Linked DNA regions of Neodiprion lecontei. The protein of the gene in region 1 interacts with the protein of each later gene in a pairwise test. Links are inferred from orthologs where the notes say so. Each region holds a gene or a part of one and is shown on either strand. Other genes may lie near its edges.

Region 1 (5,820 bases):
TGCACGGACTCCACAACCCCCTAATCCTGACGAACCAGTCAACACGGCAGTAGCAATCGCAGACTGGGGTTTAGACTACGTTGTCTTAACATCAGTTGACCGTGATGGTGAAATATTTTTTTTTTATGTAACATTACTGTTATAGAAACTAGTTTAAAAAGAGCAACTTTCAGAACTCATACTTGATATTCATTGCCCATTGCAGATTTACCAGATGGGGGAGCAAATCACATAGCAGCTACTGTTGTAGAAATTAAAAAGCGGTAAATTTTGTATCATGCATTTCATTTGCTACGTTTTCAATGCTGTTTCTCAAATTTACCTTATTTTCTTAGGAGAAAAGATATGTTGGTCGAATGTTTAGTACCAGACTTCAGAGGTAATCAGGAATGCGTAGCAAAAATAGTTGAATCGAAACTTGATGTTTTTGCCCACAATATTGAGACTGTGGAACGTCTAACACCTTTTGTTCGTGACAGGCGTGCACACTATAGGTGAGTTCCAGCGAAATGAGCATAGTAAATAACTATTAATGCTGTTCATTTGCTGAGTAACATCTTTAATTGATATCAACATTTGTCAGACAGTCGCTGAGCGTTTTAGAAGGTGCGAAGAATAAGAATACAAATTTGATAACCAAGTCATCGATAATGTTAGGATTGGGGGAAACTGAACAAGAAATTGAACAAGCCATGCAAGATATGCGAACAGCTGGAGTGGATGCTTTAACTCTGGGACAATACATGCAGCCAACAAAACGACACTTAAAAGTCATCGAATATGTAACACCAGAGCAATTTAAAGCATGGGAGAGTGTAGGAAATGATTTGGGCTTTCTGTACACAGCAAGTGGCCCATTAGTGAGGTCTTCTTATAAAGCTGGTGAATTTTTCTTGACAAACATATTGAAGTCACGTCAAGCTGAATCTATTACACAAGATTCAGCTACCTAACTAGTTATATCCTGAATTTTATAGCTGGTGCAATGATTACATAGTAATATATATAGAAGGAAGTTATTTATACAAGTTGAAAGCCATTAATAATCATTGTAAATAAAATTTATTCCAAAAGGGTGACACGCAACATTTTCTAACTTCTACTTTTAATAATCATAGCAATAATTATTTCTGAACCTGCCATACTCTTTCGGTTACGTTCCCACAAGCGAATAGGTAGCTTGAGCAGGGTGGGGGAGGAATGGATTAGTAACCATCATGTATTTCATAGCCGAATCCTTTTTAGTCAGTTCTTAATAATTATTCACGCGAGGAATTACACAATTCTATTTTTACCGATAATCTTATAATCACATACCATGAAAAGTTGAATTATCTTGATTAATTAAAGTGCACAAACTCTGGAAATATACCATTTTATTTCCTAATTATGTTATTACAAAAGCTTATTCAAATAAATGTTGCTATATTTTCAATACAATTTTCAGTTTACCAACAAGACTGATATCAAGTTATCATAAAGATGAAAATCCTTGCTGCCAACGGAGAAAACGACTTTATTCCGGTGTGATTAATAACATTTTTTTATTGCAACTGAAAAAAGAAAGCATTCACATAGCAATGTAATTCACTCTGTGTCCATCGCAACAGCCGGCTGGGGATCTTGTGGCCCTTGGTCGGCAGGTGGAGGCTGAGGTGGTTGAATATCCTGTTCTGCAGCACCACCAGGACCTCTAGACCGTTTCTCATCCCCTTCAATTTCTGACAAGTAAATTGCTGTAGCAGATTCGTCAAGAATTGTAAACGGCACATCCTTTCCAACGATTCCAATCGATACATTCTGAAAATTGTCATATATTACAGTCAATACATTTGGAATACGGCGCAATTCTAATGTAATGGTAAAAGTACCTTGACTGTGAGATCTACTTCATTGGGTAACGTGTCGCGCAAAGCTCTAAGTCCATGTTTGACAATCTCGTCAAGATCGCAACTTGGGAATTCGTTCAGATGTTTCTCAAGATATGTACGAGCACTCTGAGAACGTGACCCCAGTGCCATAGCTTTGCAATTGAAATAGTTGGCCGATGGACATGTTTGAAAAATGTGTGGTCCTTGATCCTGAAAGGTGATTTTAGTTTGAATCAGTGCTTCATTTCAAAACAAAAATGTATTAATCTCGTTAGAAAAGTGATAAACTTTCAGCATAGTAGAACTGCTTACGTCGTATCCAGCAACAAGAAGTCCTACTCCATACGGGCGTCGATCGTACCTTTGAGTACACGTTTGCATCTTATTACCAAGGGTAGTGATGAGCCGACTCACAGGTAAGACCGAGTCATGCGAGTATTTGTAGTTTAAACATTCAGTTCGCATGTATCGACTATAAGAATTGATATTATAGGTGATATCAAAAATCAGAGTAAATAGTATAAATTTAACAGAGATGAAAAAATACTTGGAAAATTGTGGATATTTTGGCAAAGTTCACAATGCAGTTTATTATATTGATTGACAATATTTGCATTTTTTGAACGCTATATCAATGTAAAATTTAACAGTAGCAGCATTAATTAATTGTCATTTAAACTGATCAGCAAGACAAATGTTGATGTAAAAGACAAACCTTAGCATTCTAGCATCTGCAGTGAGACCAGCAAGAGTGATGCCCATGTGATTGTCAATCGGGATAATCTTCTCCTGATAAGCAGAGAGTTCGGAAGAAGCTCTCTTTAAAGCAATCAGTACAGCATGAGTTCTATTCTTAAGCCCGACTGTTGCCGAACCCTGTTTGACTGCTTCCATGGCATATTCTACCTGATGTAACCTGCCTTGAGGACTCCATACCGTCACGTCGCTGTCGTATTGATTTCGGAACTGAGGGTAATTGGAAAGAGAAATAATATTACAGAATATATTGGAAATCAGGTAAAATGACTTCAGTTTGCCATTTAAATATAACTACGGCCGGGTTCTAATTTTGTGTATGGGGGTTCGAGTCACCTAACCTCGCAAAATTAATGAAAAAAACTGAAAAATTGAGTATTTTAACATTGATTATTAACTCAAAACCACCGCCATATGATTCTCATTCCACATCGTTGTATGATCGGAGTTTTAAAAGCGACTGCAAATCTGTAAATTCTTAAAATCGAAGCAAATGACGAAGCAAAAAGTGCCGAACCTAAAAATTGATGTATTAGAATTTTTATTTCATAATAGATCGGATAATACCAACCATTTTCACTTAATAATCCACAATAGTATGGGACCCGGTAAATTCACTATTCCTTCAATCAAAGTAAAAAGAAATAATGTGCCGCAAAGTAAACTGTCATCAAGCGTCCATGAATGAGACCCCGAATGACAGTGTTAACGCAGACGAGAATACCAAGTCTTAGGAAATCCTGTATGTGTCTGTGTTCTGAAATCTCATGAAAAAAAATTCGGGTAGAGTATCCAGGGAGACGATCGCAGCGCACCTAGCTGCTAAAGTTTCGGCTGATAACGAAAATTTTCAGCACTGTTCAGTACGTAGATAGCCATTGAACGGAAAACAAGAATGTGATGTTTAGCGATGTCACGACGTGTACGTACCTTAGCAACCGTGTGACTTTTCAATGTTGACAACCAATTGCTGTTTGATCGCAGTTTGTTTATCATAAAAAGTGTTTATTTAATATCGTGTGGTGTATTTCCACTTGAATCAGCACCTTAAGCAAGATATGGTAATTATCTGTAGTAAACATTTATTCATTTGCTCGCGGGATCTCAAATATTTGGACTCGTTGAATGCATCTGTGACAAAAAATGACTAATAGATAAGGTAGATTAAATTGAATAATGTAACTAATTTGTTGATCATAGACGTCAGCATACAAGAAACAAATCAATGGTGGAACAAGGAAGAAAAGCACACCAAAGTTTGAACTGACGGAAGAACAAAAAGCTGACATTAAAGAAGCATTTGATTTATTTGATCCTGATGGCACGGGAAAAATTGCTACCAAAGAGCTGAAAGTAGCGATCAGAGCTCTGGGTTTTGAACCAAAAAAGGAAGAGATTAAAAAATTAATAGCCGATGTCGATCCGGATGGTCTTGGTAAATTGTCATTTGAGGAATTTTTGAATCTTATGTCGGTGAAGATGGCAGAAAAAGATTCTAAGGAAGAAATTTTGAAAGCTTTCCGTCTATTTGACGACGACGATACAGGGAAAATATCATTTAGAAACTTGAAAAGAGTAGCTCGTGAGCTGGGGGAAAATTTGACTGACGAGGAACTACAAGAAATGATCGACGAGGCTGATAGAGATGGGGATGGAGAAATTTCACAAGAAGAGTTTTTGCGCATTATGAAAAAGACTTGTTTGTATTAAAACAGATCGGCAATGCTAATTTCAGTTTCAACTTTTATCAATATAAGTCAGCAAGATTTTTACTAACCAAGGACTGCCACTACGCTGTATATTTGCCAAAATCAGTCAAATTTTACGATCACTTGTATTTAGTACAATCTATCTCTATTTTTGTTTGAAAACTATCATTTTAATGTGGCTCTCAGAAAACGTTAAATTGTAATCTCTACTTTGGTAAATACTGCTTATCAATAATATTTTAAATGATCAATAAAACTAAACAGTATTTAACATCTACCTATCAACATATGACTAAATCCTGTGATCGTTTTTCTGATTTTGAAGGCACTGCACAAAGTAAAAGTAGTCAATAAAGAAACAATGTTTATTTTATCAATTCGATTCAAAGTACAGATACTGTTTTTATTGATATAGTGCTTTCTCAGTTTGTCACTGCAGCCTCGATAACTTTTCTGATAAGATCTGCTCTCTTCTTAGACTTTTCCAAACTTTTTGACAATAGTTCTTGAGATATTGGAATTCCTCCTGATGACAAATAATTAGACCTCTAAATGGTTGAATCAATTTTTGCAGTATTATAAATAAAATAATTTCATTTCATTTGATTTAACTTGTTATCATTTTATCCATCGGATCAGGTAAACCCATTGAGTTTGATTTGCATCCAGTACTACAGAGATAAAGAACTCAGTTACTAGATGTTGCAAAGAATAAGGAAAATTGCTAACCAGGCTTGTAAAGGCCACATAATTCTGGTCCGTCAATTACGAGACATAGTTTCCCTTTGGCCAGAGATTCCTCTTCATCGGTTGGATCAGCAAGTAGAAGTTGTCTAAACACAGACATATAATATTGTTTTGTATACGATTTGACCTTACCGTATTTCAATAATGTTTCCACGTAATCCAAGCAAAATGTATACTGATGGAAGATACTTACTCATCAAAAATTGCAAACGTGGTAGATACAGGAAGTGACTTGAGAGGAAATGGTTTTCTGTCAGAAGTGTCTACAACGATGGCACCTGTTTCAGGATTATGTTGGACTTCTGGTAAAGTTACTGTGCAATAAACAGTGGATCATTGTTAAAGCAAATCCATGAGGCTAATATATAACAATGAAACAATTGTAGACTTACAACTTTTAAGTGCAGCTACAAGTGCGCCAAGGCATGCATCTGTAACTGATCCATCATAATCAATGCAAATCAAATCGCAGTAAAGCACCCACACTAGTTTATCAATGCAAACACATAGATCTGTCAAGTCCAGGGCAGAAGAATTTATTAAGATGTCATCTATTGTCTTAGAAGCAACCTGAGCCTGGTCGCTGGGTGGTCCAGGACGAAATTTTGGAGAACACAGTGGTGAGAGTTCGACGTTGGGTATTAAATATCCGCAATTTGGAGTATCGGCTTTTGGAGCTGCTAATTCCTACAATGAGAAGTACCAGCTTGGATCATGTAGACAATTAAACTATCAAG
Region 2 (7,605 bases), on another chromosome or scaffold:
ATTATTGACAGAGTGTCACTGCTACGGCCGGGTTTTTCTATGAAATAAAAATAATTTGATTAATGGATTACTGTATGAATACTGTATTGCCTGTGCATATAATATGTCTATATTTCTATTAGATTTAAAAACTTTGGACCAAAGTCTGTATTGGCAAGCTTATCACTCACTCCTAGTTTATTGAAATTGTCCATAGTAATATTACATTTCATAAATAAATAATTTAATAAGTTTTCTCAAGTAAAATGTAGATTTCTGAGAATTCCAGTATCATAATATTAATATTGAGTCTGAGTATATTTACCTGAATAAATTTCTTTCTCACCCATCTCTATCTGCCTATGCGTTTTAACAACATCAAATGGAATAGTCACTAAGGCCGCTATCTATAAACAAATAAAATTGGTTGAACGTAGGAACAGAACAACTTCAAATGGAATTGAATACGATTCTCCTTGGAGAGTAATTAACTTACAGAACCAGCTACAGCTCCAGCTGCTAAATTAAATGTAAATGTTTGTTGAGTTCCTCGAAACTGTTGTTTTATAGTTTCATAGTTTAACCAATAAATAGCACTGAACGGTACATCGCGCAACAATGTAGACCCAAGACCCATCCACAAACCAGAAAATCCACTGTATTTAACAACGGTCTTTAAAGCTTGTCCGATTTCTGGAATAAAATTTTCATTAAATGTAATGCGTGCATAGATATTCTGAATTTGGAAGAATAGTGATTATGAATATAGTTAGTATCAATTTACCGATATAACTCAGTTTTTGCGATTGCATCTTTGTTCTAATAAGCTCTAATGGGCTTACTAAAGATGCAGCCCAAATTCGCGCTGTGCCACCAGCTAACATTGGAATCCAGAACGGTTGCACCGAATGATTAGTTCCACTATTAATCCTACTGTTATAGGTATCCTGCAATGTGTATAATGCTAGCTCTGAAACTGTTTTTCAGAATATCGAATGAGTAGAAACTTGACAAGGGTCTTGGTCAGTTTACATAGACAATAGCTGCCATACCCAGATATAATCAAATCTATTATATTTACCTTGAAAAATAGCCTCAGTTGTTCATAAGATACAAAATATACTATAGTTGCTGGTATTGCCAGGATGAGAGTCGGGCTCAACCCACTCCATAGTGATAATACACCTTCGGTTCTACTAATTTTAGTTAGCGCGTCCTGCAAATATAAATGGCGGTGATACAAGTCGTATGGTTTTATTACTGTAAAAATGGAGGCGACTAAGAAAAATATGGAATAAAATGATCACTGGTGTTAATTCGTGAAAAGATCGTCACCAAAGGAGGTGAAAGATTAAAAGTTAAGATATTTGTTAACAAGGAGTCGCTGAAAATTTGACCAACCAGCGTGCCATTAAATTTTCCATTAGCGCGCATCCAAGGTGGACTTTTTTCATCTAGACAAGGGCAGAGATGGTCCATGAGTCCGTTACAGTACAAAAAGCATTTGTTAGAGAGCATTGCTTTTTGTTGCGTCTGTAGTCGAATTTTTACAACATCCAGCGGTGTTACTAAAAAAAAAGGAACACATTTAATTGCCTTAATTGAACATGAAAATTTTTTTTGTTATCACGGAATACTACGGTATTGCATATCTACTTGTATGTATACTTACCAAATAGTGATGTGATTAATGCTCCAGTACACGAAGCCACCATTTGTTGATATGGTCTGATGCGGAATCTTGGATCATCCAAGTCAATATCGTCGAGATTATTACTCATTTTATTGCGTTATTAGATTCAGCTTACTGTCATTGACGATCAAAATTAATATCTACCGTTCAAGATGTACAGAGTACACATAACCTCAATGCAACAGGCTTATTTGATCACATGTCAGAAGCTTTCGAGGTGGCTGAGTATAATTGTTGTACTATAAAGTGTAAAAATAATCTTGCTTGATATATTTTTAAGTAAAGATTAGCTTCGATGGTGAAATTTCATGAATCCTGGTATCAAACAGCAAGGGCACCATGCTATATTATGTTCAATCATGTCGTACATAAATAGATTTCGTATGTACAATTGAGTATGTATATTACGTATTGTTCTGTTTAAAATTTACGCTATGCAATTATTATCGCTCAATGTTCATTTGACATAAGTAAATATCAAACTTTACGCGTTGTAATTCACGTTCGATTAATTGTGAATGAGAAAAACTTGTGAATAGAAACTATACTACCGGTACAGTTTCGTGAATTCCAAAAGCCACAAGAAGGTACTCCACGATACGTTCATCCGATTGCATCATCAATTATGGATCACGGACACGGTGAACGGGAATGGAGCAGCTCTAAGCATGCAATAAATACGTGACGTTAACCTCAAATTGTCTCGACTGCACAGATGTTTGGTGATTTATTTTCTCGCCTTTTATTACAATAATACTTCAGTATTGGAAGAGTCGCGATAGCTGATAACATTTCGAAAAATGCCAGACAGTATGAATCAAAAAGGTATTTAGATACTGATTAAAAATATGGCCTACTTAACCAACAACTAAGGAACTATTTAAATACACTTTCAGATATCTGTATATTTTTTAACCGCATTATGAAGAATGAAAGCGATATATCAGCAGGAATGGCTGCAATACAAACGCTTTTAAAAGTTTTGGAACGCTCTGACTGTGAGTAATTTTTCGTAGTCTCAATAATGATGTTTAACCCTACTACTCATGATTATTTTTTATTACCTTCAAACGCATGACAAAACTGGTCCTATGCTGATAAACAAACTTCCTCATGCATGGTTTTCTTCGTTTTTTCATAAGGAAGAGAATGGTGTACGAAAAATCTGAATTTATTTAGATTTAGATAATGGAAAACCCAATCGAAGTCTGAAAACCACGTAGCGGTAGTCGCACTCAGCATCGTTTAAAGTTTGTGTGGGGTGCGTTTGGACCTCAGTCACGAGCTGTAGGGTTAACAAAGTGAATGCAACTAACAAAGACTAAGGCTGTAAATTTATGCTGCTTTGTAGGTGAAAATGGAATTTCCGTCCATTTATGGTTTCATGAGGCTATACTTTCTTCATTATTTGATTGTGTATTATTATGTTTAGCGGAAACAGTTCAGGAACTCCATTTGTGTCTGCAAAATGCAGTAGATACAATGCGATCTACCGATCATCCTGTTACTGGTATTGCTTCGGGTTGTGAGCTTTTCCTCCGTTTCATTACATTGGCCACATTGGATAATTCTGTAAGTGTCTTATTTTAATTTAGAAAGTCGTACTTAAAATAAAGAGAATGTTCACCCGAGATTTAAAAAATTATACTTATACTTCATTCGATCGATAGGATTTTAAATAAGTATGGTAGATAATACACAATCAGTTTTTAATCAATTTTACTCAAGTCATAGCAGGTTCTTTGACAGAAAGGGTATAAAAAAACAATAATTTTATAAGAGTATTTGGATGGTACTCAGGATATAACATTTGTATTATTTGATCTGCTCTCAAAAAATCGTATTTATAAACATACAACAAATCAAGTATCTTACCATACACGTATAGTTTATTCATTTTGCTCTTACATGCAGCCATTTGCTGACTGTAAACGGATTATGATTCAGCGGGGGAAGCTTTTCTACGATAAGTTGTTTGCTGCACGTGGTAAAGTGGCTAAACTGGCTGCACAGTTTATAATAGATGGCTCGGTAAGTAAAAGAATTTCACTCGGTGATTACTGACTCTAAGGATGATATTCTGATGATTTGATTAATATTTAAATAAGATACAAATTTTCACGTATATAGTGTGAATAGAATCTAATTAGATTGTGCTCTCAAAATGTGTAAAATAGAATTCATTTGTACACACATCTGACGTAGAAATTTGCACTCAGTACAATTAACACTATCAACTCAACTACTGTGAATTAAATTACTATTCATTTTGCATAGAGGATATTGACACATTCCAAATCCAGAGTTGTTTTACAAACTATGAAAGAAGCTGTAGCTAGTAATAAAAGGTTCGAAGTTTATGTCACGGAGTCTTTCCCAAACAATAGCGGGTGAGCTATAATTTGATAAAATTTTAACATTGTATATATCACACAACATTTTATAATTTACCATAGACCCAATAGAAATATGAATAACGTGATTCATGTACAGCAAGGAAATGTGCAAAGACTTGACCCTCCTGGATGTGCCATGTACGTTAATACTTGATTCGGCAATGGGTTACATTATGGAGCAAGTTGACATGGTAATGGTTGGAGCTGAGGGAGTTGCAGAGAGCGGTGGAATAATTAATAAAGCAAGTATAAGTTCTGTCGACGTAATATATTATGTAACAGTAATAAACGAGGTAGTATTCATGGTATGATCTGAGATGCAACGAACAAAACTGCATCTGTAGAGTTTTCCATTACTTTTACACAAAATTATAAAAAAAACACGTAACTCTCTAATTGCAGGTGGGAACTTACACAATGGCGATGTGTGCTCGGGAGATCAAGAAACCTTTTTATGTCCTGACTGAAAGTTATAAATTTTCTCGAATATATCCTCTAAATCAAGTTGATCTCCCCAACGAATTTAAAGTGAGTTTAAACTGTGGGAGAAACTATTGTCTACTTTCTTTTTGCTTTTCAAACTCTTACCATTGATTTATTGTTTTAAATTTATGAATCAGTCAAAATTTAGTGGCGAATGATACTATTTTGACAATGTCGACACGCGATATGCACGTGTGCTAGAATCTACTTATTATAGTTGTCAAGATTGAGATAAATTGAAAAAGTGTAACCATATACGAAGTATTTTTATACGTGTATGTTTTTCCCACAGTACACAGCAAGTACACTGAAAAAGGATCTACACCGAGAACATCCATTAGTTGATTACACTCCACCATCTTATATAAATCTTTTATTCACTGATCTTGGTATACTGACTCCATCTGCTGTTAGTGACGAACTTATTAAACTTTATTTATAAAATGAAACAATTTTGTCCTGCATTCACAGGGATTACTATTTTTCACGTCACCATTGAAATATACTCTAAAGGCTGCAATACGAGATACATATAAGACTCAAATTCATTTTAGATGCCAAATTTTTATTATGGGGTATTCGATTCGTGAGTTGCTTGAATATTAAGAAGGTTTACGAAAATTCATTCAATTCTCTCCGTGAACAAAGTCCTAGTTAGTGGAAAAAAGTTCCGTTATATGATTGCAGTTACAACCAGATCTTTCTATGTATGTTTTGTACAGGTAGAAATAAATTCGAATCAGTTGAAGCGTTGAATTTTTTAAATTAACGTACGGATTGGTTATGGAATACTAAATAAATTAACATCTTTGAAGATAAAAGCATGGTTTTCTTGTTAAAATATTGCTTTTTTATTCCATCAATGTTAGACTTATCAAACGAATAAAATTTAACAATTAAATGAACATCAACTGACTATATTCTTGCCTGTAATGGCTATATATATAATAAAAACGATAATCTACGTACATATGTATATAGAATCACGTACATTATTTTGTTCATTTGTAATTCACATACATATATGAATAAAACAATATACATTATTCCATAACTTCTTCCTAGTTGACTGATTCCATATTCAGATTAGCAACTTTAAAGAATATACTCTATAGAAACGATTTTTATATTGCACAGCAATAGACATTAACTTATAAGAATGATAGCGTCTGATATTTAAAATACTTATAACATATCAATAATCATTTCTTCCAACAATGGTAAATTATTAATATCAATGAGATGTAAAGTAACATTATTAAATAATACAAACGCGCTAGTCAGTTGTCAACCTTTCCAATTAGCAAATAGAAATGATTTCTACCTGCGCAGAGGTTCTCGAAGTAGTATAGCCCTATTGCAAATAGAATTACATTTGATATTCAGTTTATTCTTGTTTTAATACATAATTTGGCGACATGTCTTGACCACTATTTATTATCAACATTTATAGCAACAACGGCTGATGCTCAAAGTACTTATACATTTTTATTGGACTTGTTCTAAAATATTGAACGTCATTTTCTTGCATTTCAAGGAAAAATGAGATATATGAATAAATGACTGGAAGAATTCAAAAATCATATTAATCAAGAAATTCAGTAGAATTTCGCTAAGCGTACATTTAATGAAATTTTTAATGCAGACTCAACCGAGTTTATGCACCACAACGGGAGCTAAACAGTCTACATGGCAGTAATATTGTCTTCATTTTTTTCAGTTTAGCAATGTTTCTGGGATTCGGCGATTTATTTTGAAATTCGAGTTTAAAAAGATTCTATTTTAGTGTAATTCTAAAGCAATTGATGCATGGAAAGCTGACATATAATTTACGCGGTTAGATAGACGTCTATTAAATTGAACATATACTTTTGAAAGAAATATTTCGCTTTGCAGAATGTTACTTACATTCACAAAACTAAAAAACGCCTGTATTATGTTCACAGAATCGTACTATTTTTCCGTTAATTAATGTGGAAGATATAAAAATGTAATAATTTTATCAAAAAATTTAATCTCCTGAAGTATTTAAAACTAAGTCAATTTTGTGGGTAAAAGTTTTTCAAAAATAGCTGCAAATATTATCACGAGAAATACGGTTTTAATACTTAAACAATAAGCTGCTTTTTCCTTAACCTACGTACATATGGATGCCATAATTAGCAGCGTAATTATTATTCTATTTTATTGAAAATCTCCTATCAGAAAAATCTTTGCATTATATAATATTAGTATGGTAGCTGAAAGAAATTAAAAATATAAAACTTAAATTCTTAGTTCACCTTGTCATTGTTTAACATACTACTTGAGAAAAAAAAAACCTAACTCTACTTTTATTACAGACGAATATTGCAGCTCAGAAGTAATAAACAATATCTTACACACACTGTTTAAAAGCTGCGTTGTATTGAAAGATCATGCTCAAATCAGATGAAGAAATATTTTATTTTATATTGGAGTAGATGCAAATGCACCTCAATGAAAACAAAACTATGGTGAACCCCATATAACCGCGACTAATCAATTTTTTTCTCATTTTGCTGGGGTGATACTGAGACTCCATGCAGGCCAATTAAATTATATTCACATTCTCATACCGTCGTAGTATCTTTCACAAGAAGTGAATTAGATTCGACTTGAGCACGCTTGCTTAAAATATACACAAATAAGTAGATAAGTGTGTGTGTTTGAGTAGCAAAAGAAGTCATGTATAAAGGAACCTATAATTGGTAAACCCGTCATTTGGGTAATAAGGTGAATTATTACGGTAGAAGCTCTAATGTTTTCCGTAGTCAGATGTTACAAGTGGGCTGCATTAGGCATTACAGTGCTTGCGACAATGTATCAACAACGGTGTATATCTGTTCAAAATGTGGCCTTTTCTCTGGCTCGTACTCCCAACAGCGTAACATTAACCGGTAAATTTCATCTGGAGTACCTTCTGGGGTAGGCATTCGATATCCTTTAAGAATAATGCAAATCTATGTAAATCCTTGAATCTAATGTATGTATGATAGCTTTTGCTAATCTTCATGGATATTATGCTCTATCAAG
Region 3 (8,518 bases), on another chromosome or scaffold:
TAGCATGGTCAGGGACAGGCCATCCTCTCCGTGACCACCAGCATATTCTACAGACAGTAAACCATGTGGTCTATGTTGCGGTACATCAGCTCCAAAAATTTCCTAGTGTGAAAAGATTCACGCAATTAATGTTAAGACCAACTGATTACATGCAAATCCTCAAATGATAACCAGAGTTTAGAAGCTTACCACCATAAATTTGTGCAGCGTAGAGTGAAGATTTCTTCTCGGGTTTATTTCACAAATAGGTAAATGATACTCAGTGCGTTCCGACAGCAAAACATGCATTCTGTTACTATAAATGGAGATAAAAGATGTTAATTAGTGCACAAACAACTCATGTAGTCAATCACACTTAATGCGCATATGAATATATAATAATAAATCTTACGTTGCTTTCTTTTTTATGCAAACAATTAACTTCAAATAAAGCCTACTGTGGGGATTGGCTATAGGAAGTAATGGAGAATGCCATGGTGGGTTAAGGCCTTGTTTGTACTCTCTAACTCTATGTATCAACGGTATGATATCATATGCTCTAAGTGACAATTCCTCAACATTTTGAATCCAACAAGCCTGTAGTGATTCTTCGTCAGCTTGTTCAGGAGTCTTTAAAGCACCACCAATCACATTTCCAGTCATAACAAATCTGAACCAAGATCCAGTCGCGCATTCAACGATTACCAATGATTTTGGTTCAACGATAATTCCCGTCTCTTCGAGAACCTCTCTTCTGAATGCCTCTGTCAATTCCTCGCCGGGTTCAACCCTTCCTGCTGGTAGGTACCATTTTCCTGCACAGGAGGCCTTTGCCTCCTGCATCATCAATACCTCATCATTATCGTTAATTAGTACTGCTGCGACTACGTATGTCACAGTTTTTTGACAAATTGGAACGTAGTCAGAGCTTGCAGTGGGTTGAATTCCTTTGGCTTCTGGAAACGAAAGTATCGTGTCAGTCAAAGTCAACGAGCTATTCATTAAGGCTTCAAGTGCACAAGTGATTTCGTATAATTCTAAGCGATTTCAGACAATGGTAGCTGATTACAAAATACTACGTGTAATTTCTCGCACTTTGCATGATTTCATGTGATTATACACTTTTTTATGGGACTTTGAATTGATTTCATATGGATTTCACACTAATTCATGGGATTTCATATTGATTTCAGAATGATTTCGTGATGAGTATGGTGATTTTCATGCAATTTTGGGGTGTACACAAAGAATTTCACAAGAATTCACATACCATAAATGTGATTTGACAAAATTTCATACTATTTTATACGGTTGATCATGATGATGAAAAAAAATTATCTTTCCCCCTTAAACACTTCAGGTTTTGTACAAAACTTTGTCTTGCATGTCTTTACGTTTGTGAGGTAATCACCTGGGATGATTAGAACCTAGGACCCTATATGAAGTGCTCTAAAAAATTAAAATTCAATACATTCGGGTTGGTGTTTATTGTGAGTGTAGTACTCCTGGGCCTTACGATTTCAAAAGTATGAATCGAATGATTTCAAAGCAATTTCATGATAATTTCGTATGAGTTTAAGATTTGGACGAGAATTCTGATGTTTTCGGATGATATTGAATAATTTCAGCTGATTTCAGCTCAATTCAGGTGATTTCATTCTTAACATACTACGATTTATTTCTTAATGCAAGCAACTTCCAACTGATTTCAATCTGGGATATATAGCTGATTTGAAAAATGAATAGCCCCTTGGTCAAATTACACTGAAAACAGGTGTTTGATCATTGCGAATATCTGTAATTGCACTAATAATATTGCTATGTTCGAAAAAAGCATCAGGTTGATATGAAGCAACTACTTAGCGATGAAATTAATAAATGATAATCCTAATACTCATAAAATTCGCTTTTCTGCAATACTGGTGATTCAGGGACCCACAATTTCTGGAGTACTGTTACACGAAATAAAATTTTCAATTGCAAATAAAGTTTGGATGGCTTTCAAATTTTTATACGACAAATTAAACGAACGAAGGCAGGTGAATGACCTCTAGTGGCACGCTATTGCGATTGCCAGTTAGATTCTTGAAAGATGCGTATAAATTCTTCCCATCCTTACCTATTGACTCATTTTGTTCAGCAAGCGTAAAGTCGCACAGATCATCGTTGTCATTTATACTTTGTCCATTTAACACTAGCCTAATCTTGTCTTCTATGGTATCAGGCATTTTATTATAGCTAACGCTTGTTAATATTTCTATTCGCAATTAAAGTACACGTAACGATTCATAACTGTCGTTGACTAAACATGCTGCTTCGTGTTATCCCCCACCATCAGAAGACACTTTTGCACACACACACACACGCGTCAGAATAATTCTGGGCACGTTCTCTTCCGTAAAGCAGGCCGGAGGGGATGACCAAAGATAACGACATGAAGGCATCAGAGAAGATGTATAAAACTTTTTTCGAGCATGCTCCTACTGTAGTTATCTCTATACCCACAGGCCGTGACGTTCACTCACATCACTCACACCAGATCCTGATGAATCGAGTGCACGTGTGAGTGAATCTACGCCCTGTAGTTGATCCCGCAGCGGTAGTACGCGGCTTTTCATGTGTTTGGATTAATGCCTAGAACCCAAGAACCGATGAGTGTACCTCGGCAACCTCTCCAACCTCTCTAACATACGTCATTTTTAGTGCTCGGCAGCACTCGGCAGCTCCAGGCATTAGACTTAGCTCTGCTCTGATGCTGCGTTCGCGCAACAATAGACCAAGTGCTGACGTATGGTTATACCTAGCCACCTAGGTAGCGCCACTGGTGGCACAAAGTCAAGATAGGGAGTAAGCATATAGTAGCGCGCTCTTTGAAAAATTTCTGAACTAAACGCAAAGCTAAGCGGAGGCATCACTAAAATTCTCTGTAAATTTCCATAACTTTCCAAACTTTCTTGTGCTCTGAAAGAAGCGCAAAGGGAAAGGACCAGTTTATTGGCAATAAACAGGGGGATGCTTGTTGGAATTTTGTATTAATTGATGTGATATAAGCAGTGAAACCTTAGCTACGTGAAAAATGTCATCACCGGATAGTACAGTCATTTTTGCTAAACTAGAAGCACTCAAGGATATTAGGTTTGTACAAGATGCACGGAAAACAACAGTTATTATTCTGCGTTTATTGCACGGATCTGAATATTAGAAATGGATGCCTGAAAAGACGAGAAGTACGGTCATTTGTTTGAAAAAATCAATCTTCATAAGTTGTCGTTCAGAAAATACATTATTTGTTATTTTTCTTACTACATTAAACCTCAACTCACTTAATTTATAATGTGATAAGATACGTCATTTCGCTACAACCAATCAATATCCACTGTTAACATTAACACCAACTATACATTTTCATTTAAAAAATGCCCTATTATATACAACAATTTCATTATTCATTAATCAAACATTCAAAATATTCCACAGATTGTTGGGTTTAAATTTTATAAAAATTACACATTAGATAATAATTGTCAACAACTACCCATGTCTTAGAAAAATATTGGTTGTAATATGTTCACTCACCATTCACACAATGTTCAGTGTCTGTTGTGAATTATTTGATGCATTGAAATCTTACAACTAATTAACACCAAATTTAAAGATACTGATGTATTTTGTAATTGCATGCGAATTTCTTAGGTCAAAGACATTGCAACTAGAAAAAATGAAGCAGAGAATCATTCAAGAGGTAGAACAGACAGAACAGGAGGAGAAGTGCTTGACAGAATACAAGCAGGAAATGGAACTTTTAATGCAAGAAAAGATGGCACATGTTGAAGAACTCCGACAAATTCATGCCGACATCAATGCGGTGAAAAATTCATTTTTACATTCAAATTGACCACATTAATTTATGCTGCTGAAAAATCAATGACATTCGTAATGAAGAACAACATTTTTCTATGTATTCACATTATTTTCATTTCCACAATGTTATTGGCAAAGGATTTCGATAGTTTTAATATATTTCTTATTACACAGAAGACCCTAGAATTTTAGGACAATAAGGGAACCCTGAGGAAATAACATAATTGTAGCAATTTGAGTCACATGTTTGGATTATTTTTCAGTTGTGGTTGGAGTAATATCTGTTTATGTTTTTTCTGAAGGCAGATCTAATTCGATGGTTGTCTTACTTTGCTATTCTTATTCATAGTCTTTGAATTCATAGTCTTAAGTTTAAAAAAAATGATATCAACAATTAAATGGATAATAACTTTCATTCGGTAGATGGAAACAGTTATAAAGCAAGCTGAAGATGCTCGCAACAGAGCTAGAGAAACAGCAAAATTAATCCATAACAATGACTATCAACCACTAAAGCACGACATCGATAGAATGCGTAGAGAATACTTGGGACTTGAAAGACTACCAGAGCTCTATGAAACGGAATCAGATCTTATTTCACCTGAGTAAGCAGATTTCTAACTATTAAATTACTTAATGCGATCCGTAATAGTCTTGTAAATTTATTCTTCAATCCAAAATCCTCAACTCAGATTGACAATTTATAACTCAGCCATGTGCAAAGCGAGTTACACGAACATGTTTTGAGAATACAAAAGATAAAAACAATTTATTGATCTGAAAAATGTATTAACGTATGTTAAATATGGAATAATGAAACTAATGAATAATGAATAATAATTATAATTGTGTAGACGGTTTGCTCGTAGCTATTTTGACCGCCCCCTGCAAAAAGCAGAATGGCGAGTTGAGGTAAGGGGTGATGATTTAATGCCTCCGTTGGGCTTACACCCCCATCCCAGCCACCAAGGAGGTCCAACTCCGTTTTTAGCTCCACAACCACTACAGGGTCCTAGTAAACCAGAGCCTAGGCCTTTGCCTCCAGCTCCTGGGCCCCCAGCTCCAACATTCAGGTACCACTGGTATATCTTCACTTTCGCATTACATATTCAACAGTAGTATACAGAATGGGGCAATATTATATAAATCGGTTGTTCGTATAATATATCTTTACTTTTACAAACTGCCTTTGGATCATTCTATTAGGAATGCACAATACGAGTTGCAAAGAATAGCAATAGATTTTTGAGCTGATTTGTGGATTAGTGTGTTAATTTTCATGTCACATATTTCAAGACATTGTTCAGTTTCTTCAATTTGTAGTGTTTGTTGTAGCAATATTATTCGTATTGGAAAGAAAATATAATGGTGCTCTGTTCTGTATTTTGTATCAATCCTTCTAATTTCTTATCCTTTTTTTTCAGGCAACAACCTCCACCAATGAAGTCGTGTCTATCCTGTCATCAACAAATTCATCGAAATGCACCAATTTGTCCTTTATGTAAAGCTAAATCACGTTCACGTAATCCTAAGAAGCCTAAGAAAAAAGACTAACGTGTAGGCTTGAGTTTATCATTAGCTCTTGAACCTACAGCCTCCAAGCATCAATTCGAGAAAATATAATTATTTCATAATAGTTATTTTCGTCGCAAGTGCGCATAAAATAGGGGTTTCTTGACGAGTGTAAAGTACGAAACTCACACGAATCAAGAAGTCCTTATATGCGTACATAGCACAGATTCTATTTTCTGTGATACCTACTGTCAAAAACTACTAAATAATCGAATTGTTGACGACGGTAGTGCAGAAAAAGATTTCTAAAATATTTTTTTTTATTTTTTAACTGATCTAGTTCTGAACGTGTGTTTAAAATTAACGAGCTTATGAATGTAACTACAGTATTTTAATTTACTATGAACTTCATTATTTGGTCGAATTCACATTTATACAAAATACAAGGTGAGTCATATTCAAACTCTGGGAATTTGAGAAGCTTATTTGATCAATGGATGCTGTACCATAGCCGATCAGATTAGTAAACAGGCAGACCGCATCAAAGAAACACTAATATTGATATCGGAGTGAAATTTTGATGGTCCAGTGTTGGCGTTGTATGACAATCAAAAAACGCAACGACAACTACAAGTGTCCAGATGCTGCTCAAACTGGCAATAAAAGACGTCCTGTTGAATATAAAAATTTAGTCGGAAGATTTTGAGAAACCAGTTGGCATCTAAATAAAGTAAACTTTGACAACAGATTCAATATCATTCAGTATTACTAGTCAGTATCATCACGTTATTTTTCTAGAGCAGCTAACTGTTACATACATTTCTTGCATCAATGAATATGTGGACTAGCTCCTTGTTTATGGCGATATCAATATTGACATACGTTGCTTCAATATGGTTTGCCTAATCATTCAATTGATCGACTGTGAAGTGACGCCTATTGATCAAGTAAGTTCCTCCTGTTCACGGAGCTTGTACTCACTCACCCTGTAATCACAGAATATAGACTGAAAGTCCAAATCAGAAACCCAGTTAAAGTTATTGCGTAAATGCGTCATTATTGTGTAAATAAATTTTATTTTAGATAGCAAAATGAAATTGAGCAACTTTGAGTTATAGAACAGTAATTTGTTGAATAGATAACAGATCCAGTGATTCGCACTCTAGTTTACTCAATCATCCTCCAATACACACAGTTTGGTAATTGTACCATATTAGTTCGATTTGCCCTATGCAGTTACTTGCAATTGATAAAGTTCGCACAGTGAAAATTCGAGCTCCCTGTACTAATCGGAGCAACAATACTGAAACCAACTATTCAAACAGGTTCCGAATAGTTCATAAAATATCTAATGACTGAAGATTCCAAAAGCCTGAAATGTGAGTATATTTGAGTGTATAGTAATAATTAGCTCGATCGTGGTTCATCATAAGTAGTACACAAGTTGTTACACTGTTGAATTTATGAATTACCATGTACATTATTGCAATTTTATATCTACTTAAAGCAATATTATATGTAATATTGCAATTACGATCTTGAAACTAGTGTGAATAATCCTTTATTATTAGGTATCTTATTTAAGGAAAATTTGCGTATCATGAACTTTATTCAACCCCTGTTGAAATTGCATAGATACTTTCGGAGTTTGTTGGTTACTGAAAGTCCAAATTATTTCATTACATAACTTGAATCAATTCAGTGATAATCGAAAAGTAATTAATCGCACGAATAAGGTACTGGAAAATATTTATTTTTGAGTATGTTGAATCCCTTCTCTGCCACAATGTATTCAATGATGACGTCGATGAAGTTACTTAGTTCTATGACTTATACGACAGTCAGAAAATTTTGTAATCTATTCTACGAGTTATGAAATTATGAAATAATGTGTGTCATTACGTTAAGATATACAGAAAAGACGGAAAATCAAGCTAATTTATCAATCACAATATATAATTATAGGTTGAAATTGTAAAACCGAAGGACAACGACGTTAACTCGTTGTTATATAGGTGTCATATTTTATTCTGTCGCGATTTTTATCTACCGCGTCCGAAAATGCAAGAGATTAACGTTGCTTTATCAATAGGAATAGGAATTCAACACATCGTACACTGGAACTTAAATGCAACTAAATCTGTACCTTTCTTGTAAACTTTAATAAATGGAACACATGTTGTCGACAGAACTGGTAGATTCATCAGGCATAGGAGTAACAATACTGTCCAATATGAATTTCAATGAGTGCCATTCAAAATATTTCCCTAATTACGAGCTCTTCGAACATTGACCTGAATTTAGGAATTTCCAACAATCATCCCAGACTGAGAAATGGATTTTTGTTACAGATATAATAAATCTAAATTTCGACTCATGATTGATGTCTGATTTATATTCGTAAGATATTCTATTGAAATTGTTCGTTCTTCTACAACGTAGAATTAGATAATGTGGCAAATGATAAAGAAAAATTGTACTTATAAATATTTCACGTTATTAGTGTGATCTACGTATAAGGGATAAGTAACAAAATTCAAATCTGCCAAACTGTTCAAAAGTACTCCATATTCATTAACAGTTAAAATATAAAATATTACATTCATGTCATCAGTTTTAAACGTCGCATTGGCAAGATCTATCCGTCTATCCGTGGACTGAAATATTTACTACTAATAACATTTGATTTTTTTACGGTTGTAATTTAATACTTATATATTGAAATTATTTAAAAATTACGAGTATATAAAATATTAAATGTATCGCTAAGTAATAATAAAACAAAAATAGGTACATAAACTTTATCAGTTAGAATCACATATGAAATTGATGTTATCTATTAAATAATTCCAGAAAATAATTCATGAATAACAAATCTCATCACTCTATATTGCCATAATTAAACAAGAGGATAACTTGCTGTAGAAGCAATTCCACAATGGTTGTTCTTATTTCGGGCCATCTTGATATACCCGTGGTCACCCCAATCACCACCCCAACTGTTCTTGACGAGCCAATAATCCATGCCATTTTCATCAGTACCGTAACCAACAGCTAAAACTCCATGGTCCAGGTTAGTTTCGGAACAACCAGCTTCATAATAAACACCTGGAAGAATAAAAATCTTTCAATACTGAGTTCAATTTTAGAAATTTAAAATGGAGCT

The links.
Region 2: the proteins of proteasome subunit alpha type-1 (region 1) and translation initiation factor eIF-2B subunit alpha interact in a two-hybrid assay, tested with the Caenorhabditis elegans proteins (4 studies listed by BioGRID). The link is inferred for Neodiprion lecontei from reciprocal best matches to the Caenorhabditis elegans genes pas-6 and eif-2Balpha.
Region 3: the proteins of proteasome subunit alpha type-1 (region 1) and zinc finger C4H2 domain-containing protein interact in a two-hybrid assay, tested with the Caenorhabditis elegans proteins (3 studies listed by BioGRID). The link is inferred for Neodiprion lecontei from reciprocal best matches to the Caenorhabditis elegans genes pas-6 and vab-23.

What each region holds. Positions count from the first base shown.
Region 1 is NC_060265.1:2,722,036-2,727,855, forward strand, and holds proteasome subunit alpha type-1, read right to left. Parts: upstream 3,358-5,820; 5' UTR 3,202-3,357; coding exon 3,199-3,201; intron 2,838-3,198; coding exon 2,587-2,837; intron 2,344-2,586; coding exon 2,184-2,343; intron 2,082-2,183; coding exon 1,872-2,081; intron 1,801-1,871; coding exon 1,588-1,800; 3' UTR 1,360-1,587; downstream 1-1,359. Other genes in the region: lipoyl synthase, mitochondrial, read left to right, coding at 1-107, 206-263, 336-494, 584-953; caltractin, read left to right, coding at 3,686-3,688, 3,828-4,337; exosome complex component RRP43, read right to left, coding at 4,759-4,862, 5,066-5,169, 5,277-5,397, 5,476-5,770. UniProt on the Caenorhabditis elegans protein: The proteasome is a multicatalytic proteinase complex which is characterized by its ability to cleave peptides with Arg, Phe, Tyr, Leu, and Glu adjacent to the leaving group at neutral or slightly basic pH.
Region 2 is NC_060260.1:5,337,047-5,344,651, forward strand, and holds translation initiation factor eIF-2B subunit alpha, read left to right. Parts: upstream 1-2,300; 5' UTR 2,301-2,472; coding exon 2,473-2,497; intron 2,498-2,568; coding exon 2,569-2,670; intron 2,671-2,814; exon of another isoform or gene 2,815-2,977; coding exon of another isoform or gene 2,978-3,023; intron 3,024-3,104; coding exon 3,105-3,244; intron 3,245-3,586; coding exon 3,587-3,703; intron 3,704-3,949; coding exon 3,950-4,062; intron 4,063-4,165; coding exon 4,166-4,310; intron 4,311-4,470; coding exon 4,471-4,596; intron 4,597-4,843; coding exon 4,844-4,993; 3' UTR 4,994-6,079; downstream 6,080-7,605. Other genes in the region: solute carrier family 25 member 40, read right to left, coding at 1-37, 305-386, 476-672, 764-926, 1,061-1,195, 1,381-1,547, 1,652-1,760; tyrosine-protein kinase Fer, read right to left, coding at 7,374-7,513.
Region 3 is NC_060263.1:27,158,541-27,167,058, reverse strand, and holds zinc finger C4H2 domain-containing protein, read left to right. Parts: upstream 1-2,854; 5' UTR 2,855-3,055; coding exon 3,056-3,114; exon of another isoform or gene 3,115-3,206; intron 3,207-3,672; coding exon 3,673-3,844; intron 3,845-4,263; coding exon 4,264-4,445; intron 4,446-4,694; coding exon 4,695-4,922; intron 4,923-5,264; coding exon 5,265-5,394; 3' UTR 5,395-7,401; downstream 7,402-8,518. Other genes in the region: 8-oxo-dGDP phosphatase NUDT18, read right to left, coding at 1-102, 190-295, 392-935, 2,099-2,207; cathepsin L, read right to left, coding at 8,252-8,460.